2 linked regions of the Daphnia pulex genome follow. The protein of the gene in region 1 purifies or fractionates together with the protein of each later gene. This does not show direct contact. Links are inferred from orthologs where the notes say so. Each region holds a gene or a part of one and is shown on either strand. Other genes may lie near its edges.

Region 1 (3,420 bases):
ATTCTAAAAAATATTTTACTGATTATTTTGATGTTGCCAGACTTACAAATTGAGGTGCAATGACAAGTGGTTTAAACGAGTCAAATCGACGAGCAATGCAACAATTTAATGTGACTGAGAATACGCGGTTCATGTTTAAACCAGTTTAAACCATGCAATTAAAAAAAAATAATTATGTATAGGTAACTTAAATTCTTTCACAGCAGAATACTAGAGTCTAGAATAGCAAGTCGCTGAATGAGAGCTGAGACTGAGAGGACGACTTATGTTTACAACATTTTTAGTATCGCTATCGAGTATCGATTTCAAAGATTGATTATATAATGTGTCGATTGTATGCATTTTTCAGCGTGCAGACCAGGTTTATTGTTATTTAAAGGCCAATTTATAAAATTAACCAGATTCATTCCAGCCATTTCCAATTTATCAGTTTTCCCTATTCTATTACCACTCTGTACTGTACTACCTGTTTCGGGATTGATAGATAGATTAAAGATTTTTGGGTTATTTTTTTTTTCGCAACAGCAAAATATTCGATACTTTCGAAGGCTTTCCGTTTCCGGAGCTTTTTTAAAGAGAAAATGACGCGAAGTTATTGTATTCACGAATCTTTAACAAGATACAAACACTTTACCACACATGAGATGGTCGCTTTCTACCAGTAAATTTAGAGTCATCTCTCGTTTCCTTTCCTTGTCGTCTTCTGCGTTCTTTCTTCTCTAGAATCCAGTCACGACTCTTTTTAGGGGCCTTTCCTGAGCGCAGTTGTTTAACCCGATCCCTGCAAACGCACAAACACACATTCAAATTGGTAACATTATAGCATTTTATGATCAAGAAAACCTTTTCTGTGAAAATGCAACATGATTAGGAGCATCTTCGCGCGAATCTACTCCCAAAGCGGCAGGCAATGGTTGTTGTCCTCCGGTCATTAGACAGAGAAAAAACTTTTTTGCCTTGGTACTATTGGGATAGTCAACAACTAGTCCTCCTGTGAAACCAGCCTTCATTGCTTGCGACGTGATGAGCTCCACTTGAGAACTATTTTCAGGGTAGAATTGGAAAATTGCTCTGCTTCCTCGGCTCTAAATTTTTGTAAAAACTCCTTAATATTAAAAATGATATAAATTAGCACACTATCTCAAAATAACTAACCAAGCAACTGTACAATGATGAGAAAAATATGTACAGTCTCTTTGCAGGATTATGTGACCTTTGGTCTGCGTTACACAACCTGCAGTCAATTAAATGAAATATAAGACAATAATTATTGAAACATCTAACTTTAAAAAATTCTAACCACTGTAAGGCTGAGATGCTGATTGCACCATCAAATGCACCAGCACGAAAGGGTAGACCTTGACCCAAGTCTCCCAATAAGAGATCACCTTCGACTTCCCTTTCCTTTGCCACTCCTTTTAGAATTGAATAAATAAGTGATTTCATTTGCAAAGTACACAAATTGTTGAATACCCAACATGGCAGATGAAATATCAACTCCTGTCCATATATGCCCCTGTTCGGTCAATGTTTCACCACTGAGACCTGATCCACAACCCAAATCAAGTAGATGACAAGGCTGGTTTTCAGGTAAACACAGCAATTCAACTGCTCTTTCTGACATAGTAAGTTGGATCTCCATCATGCGTGTACTGTATTATAAAACACACAACATGTAATAAGTGAAAAAATTTAACTTAGGTTGTACATACTTTCGAGAGTATTTACGGGCTTCATCTTCACCGTAGAACTACAAAAAATTACACAATGTAAAGAAATTATTTTATCAAACGAAAACATCCTGACAAACTTACAATTTCTGGTGGGGCTTGATGCTCCGGACGCCCAGACATTGTTCTGATCTGTTAAGTACAAAATACTATATCTGAATGTAAATAAAATCAAACAGATTTTATTGCGAATATAAACAAAACCAAATTTTTTATTTTTTAGACAAGTTCACGCGCACATGTGTTGTGACTTGTGAACATAAGGCGAAGCAGACGAAGAAAGAAAGATGCCATCTTGTGGTTGTAATTAGAACGTAATGTTTCATTATTATTTTCGTCTGACATGCGGGTCGAAGCAGAAGCACATACCATTACCAATGTGGACGTGAGCAAGCATTGCGTATCTTATCTCCGTAACTTGAATCGTCCCAGGAAACACATCGTGCATTCGTGATCAAATTCGATCACCCCCAAAAAATATTTTGGTAATAATCTTTTACTGCAAAACTAGATTGACTAAGTTACATGTTGTTATTTTGTTGGCACACATTTTGTGTGATGTGTGTACAAATCCATATTGTTAAGTGAAGTGGACTAACACTAACAGTAAATTAATCAACTTGTGAAGAAATTTTCCAATTCCGAAAATACCTGCACGAATGCATTTCTTTGCTCCCCTTAAATATAATTAAATTTTTGATCTCTTTCCAGGTAGCACATATACATTTAATATAGTGTTTGTAATGGCAAGACTAGACGAGCTCTGCAAATTGCCAGGCCATCAAGGAATTGTGTGGAATGTAGGATGGAATCAAGAAGGAAATATTTTGGTTTCATGTGGTGAAGATAAAACCATTCGGCTTTGGGGAAGGAATGTCAATTCCAATGACTGGGTGTGTCGTTCGATTTTGTCGGATGGACACCAACGCACTATTCGATCCGTTTCCTTTTCTCCCTGTAACAAGCTTATTGCTTCTGCAAGTTTCGACGGTACTTGTTGCATTTGGGACAAGAGTACTAGCACGGAAGGCAATCAATATGAATGCACGGCAACTTTAGAGGGCCATGAGAATGAAGTAAAGTGCGTTGCTTGGTCAGCATCTGGCTCTTTTTTGGCAACATGCAGCAGAGACAAAAGTGTATGGATATGGGAGGTTGGCGAAGATGGAGAATTCGAATGCGCTGCGGTCTTGAGCGCTCACACACAAGACGTAAAAAAAGTTGTCTGGCATCCACATCAAGATATTGTGGCCTCAGCTAGTTACGACAACACAGTCAAGATGTTTTGTGAAGAGGACGACGACTGGATTTGTTTTGCAACATTGAAATCACACGAATCGACGGTTTGGAGCTTGGCTTTTGATTCTACAGGAAAACTATTGGCGACATGCAGCGATGATCGAACAATCAAGATTTGGAAAGAATATCTCCCTGGAAACGAATTCGGAGTAGCCACATCAGATAATATGCCAACTTGGAAGTGCGTCTGTACTTTGTCTGGAGTTCATCCGCGTGCCATTTACGATATCTCATGGTGTCACCAGACGGGTTTACTTGCTACAGCTTCTGGTGATGATGCGATCCGCATTTTTCGTATTGATCCAGAAAGCGATCCAAATGCTCCTATCCTAGAGCAACTAACTATAGTACCAAGAGCTCATGAACAAGATGTCAATTCAGTTGTCTGGAA
Region 2 (3,062 bases), on another chromosome or scaffold:
AAGGTAGAAACTTTTTCTTATCTTAATATTACAAGTTTTAAAACATGTCCTAATAATTTTTATTCTTAAAGATGTTCACCGATTACGCTCAGAACATAGAATTGTTGGCAATTTCATTGGATGCTTGCCATCTTTACCAAGGCAGGATCAGATGTTAGGGTTACCAATGGAGTTAATGATTGAAGAGGTTTATCACTTAACTTCTCGGGGAATTGTTAAATTAGTTGAATTCAAACAACTAAACCTTCCTGCTCAAGGACCAAACAAGGAGAAAATAGAGGAAATGCACAAAGCAAGCTTTGCTGACCAAGAAGTTATCTTTAAGGAAGAAAGAACCAAGCAGCTGTTACAAATGGCAGATAAAATCATTGAGGGCAAGAGAAGAAAAATGAATGGAAAGACTGTTGATGAGAAAATAGCCCTTCAAGAAGAAATAGACAAAATTCCTAAAATGTCTAAAGATTTGATGATGGTTCAAATTTTTACAAGTAAGAAATAATATTATCAGTCTTTATCAGATAAATAATGTTGTGATGAATGATCATTTGAATGATCTACTTTTTTGTTCTTGTTGTAGGGCCTCACTGGACATGTCAGGGGGAATCAGTATTGCCATTAGATTATAATGTTAGACCAACTCTCAGGTGTAAAGTGTTCAGTGACTTGTGGGAGAAAGGTTATTACATAACATCTGGTGAGAAATTTGGTGGTGATTACTTGGTTTATCCTGGTGATCCATTAAAATTTCATTCACATTTCATAGCTGTGTGTGTTGAAGAGCATCAGATGTTGACTCCTTGGTTTCTGATACAAAAAGGTCGTCTGGGAACAAGTGTTAAGAAAACTGTTTTAATGTGTAGCTTGGATGAGAATGATAAAGTAAATTATCAGTCTGTGAATTGGAATGGAAAATAAAGCACTATTTAAAAAATTGGACACATGTTGAATTGACTTGTATTTTCTACTTCAGTTACACTTCATCTTCATTAGCTAACATGTTTGGAATTCCATCAGTAACAGGGAATTTTCTCCCTGTCTCAGGACATATCAGATCTCCATTCATGACTTCAATCTAAATAAATGGTAAATAAAAAAATGGAACATAAATAAAATAAGAAGATTATTACCTCCATTAAAAAGTGGTGAGCTTTTTTCAAGAATTCTTCATTATTTTCATAGTCATCTACAACAGTTGGGGGAAGTTCATCAGTGTGTCCAAGCTAGATAATGTAGAAACAGAAAATCAACACATATTTAACCGTTTTTAAAGGGTAGCATTCAAATCGTGATTTCTTTTTACATTTTCTGCAGCTTTACAGAGAGCTGGCCAGTCCACTTTTTGAATCATCCGTGAAATGAATTCTGGGTTGAAATCAACTTCATTCACTTTAACTTCTTTTGCCTGTAAAACATATAAAGTATTTCATTTTGGTAAAAAAAATGATTAATCAAAGAGTACTTACAACAATGCCTAGAGGATACCCAACTGTTACGCCTTTCAGACATTTAGAAGTCAATATATTGTGAGTTAAAAGTTTCATTCTTAATTCGTTAAATTATTGAGCTCTTGACAGACGAACACACGTGTGTTTTCCAAAACAAATTTTCTACAAACCGCTGCCGTGCCGGACGGGGTTTACATTTTTGCTTTCACGGTTTCACCCCAGCCAGAGCAATAGATACCTGGTCGGTTCTCGGCCGTGTTGGCTTCCCTATCCCGGTTTCAGGGTAAACGTGGTCCGATTTGGAAAAAATGATGAGCGCCTCTAGTGAGTGTGTCAGGTACTACGTGAAGCCAGCCAATCAGGAAGGGTCTATGAAAAACTCATTGACCAATCACAGCTTACTTTTCTACAAGAAGTGAACAAAATAAAAAGGTAGAAGTATCCAACTGTCAAACCTCTAGGTCTTTTCTAAGTGTCCCAACATTCTTACATTTTATTGTTTGGTTGCGTAAATTGTTTATTCTTTGTAAGTGTCCAAACATTCTTACATTTTATTGTTTGGTTGTGTAAATTGTTTATTGTTCCGTTGACATAATACACTACTTCTTGTTTTGAAAGTGTACACTTTTCACATTATAATTTTCATTTGGTAGTTGATCCATCGAAATGCAAAAAATCGTTTGTTTAATTTGATCAAAATACCATGTCCAATTCTTTGGTACCATTGATGAAGTTACTAGTGACTGAAATGTCACAAAATTAGACTTGAAATTAGTAGAGCTTGCTTCCATAGAAGGTGATGTAACTGTCGAATCTTCAATGACAACAGCAACATTTTCGTTCATAACATCAGGAAGTGGATCAAAAATTGCTTCTTCAGCAGCCTGGTGGGTGTCCATTGATTCTTGAATAGTAGAGGTAGCTTCCACAGAAGGTGATGCAACTGTCGTATCTTCCATGACAACAGCAAGATTTTCCTTGATTGAATCTGGAAGTGGATCAAAAATTGCTTCTTCAGCAGCCTGGGGAATGTTGATTGATTCTTTAATAGTAGAGGTAATTTCCATGGAGGGTGCTATCAGATAAAATTTAAAGCAATTGCTCTTAAAAATAAAATGTAACGAGAACTATTATCAATACCTGTACTGTCAAATTTTTTTCTCTTAGACGTAGTAGGTATTTTGTCTACTTTTGGTCGTTTCCTTACTGATGCATTGCTAGCATTTGTTTCCACTACAATACATATTTAAGAATTGCGTTATTTGATATTAAACAAAATAAATATATTTAAAAATACCATTAATGTTATTTCTCCATTTGAAACCATCAACATTTTGCATTGCTTGTCGACTAGGTGTATCTAAAATGAAAATGGTTCAGTTTCTGTGCTTTACAGATTATACAGGAAATGTAATATCAATACCATTTATCAGAAAATGTTTGGGAATTGCTCCAGCATTACGATTCCTACGTTTGAAAGGATGGAACACGTTCAAAATTTAAATCCCTGATTTGAAGTCACTTTCGTCAAAATGACGGGAGCAAATACGTGAGGTGCTCGTCAAATAACTACATGGAATTAGTTCTCGCCATTTAGATAATGAAGTTTTAGGAATT

Evidence for each region.
Region 2: the proteins of probable 18S rRNA (guanine-N(7))-methyltransferase (region 1) and multifunctional methyltransferase subunit TRM112-like protein purify together in Homo sapiens (affinity purification with mass spectrometry; 5 studies listed by BioGRID and IntAct, counting the BioPlex papers as one, with this or other methods). This does not show direct contact. The link is inferred for Daphnia pulex from reciprocal best matches to the Homo sapiens genes BUD23 and TRMT112.

Annotation. Positions count from the first base shown.
Region 1 is NC_060028.1:9,638,451-9,641,870, reverse strand, and holds probable 18S rRNA (guanine-N(7))-methyltransferase, read right to left. Parts: upstream 2,006-3,420; 5' UTR 1,854-2,005; coding exon 1,815-1,853; intron 1,751-1,814; coding exon 1,713-1,750; intron 1,653-1,712; coding exon 1,474-1,652; intron 1,416-1,473; coding exon 1,156-1,415; intron 1,086-1,155; coding exon 844-1,085; intron 782-843; coding exon 631-781; 3' UTR 583-630; downstream 1-582. Other genes in the region: 2-hydroxyacyl-CoA lyase 1-like, read right to left, coding at 47-133.
Region 2 is NC_060017.1:6,066,839-6,069,900, reverse strand, and holds multifunctional methyltransferase subunit TRM112-like protein, read right to left. Parts: upstream 1,625-3,062; 5' UTR 1,542-1,624; coding exon 1,464-1,541; intron 1,403-1,463; coding exon 1,301-1,402; intron 1,221-1,300; coding exon 1,128-1,220; intron 1,073-1,127; coding exon 971-1,072; 3' UTR 966-970; downstream 1-965. Other genes in the region: tRNA-splicing endonuclease subunit Sen34-like, read left to right, coding at 1-3, 72-488, 578-915; uncharacterized protein LOC124191043, read right to left, coding at 2,045-2,520, 2,586-2,678, 2,743-2,785. UniProt on the Homo sapiens protein: Acts as an activator of both rRNA/tRNA and protein methyltransferases. Together with methyltransferase BUD23, methylates the N(7) position of a guanine in 18S rRNA.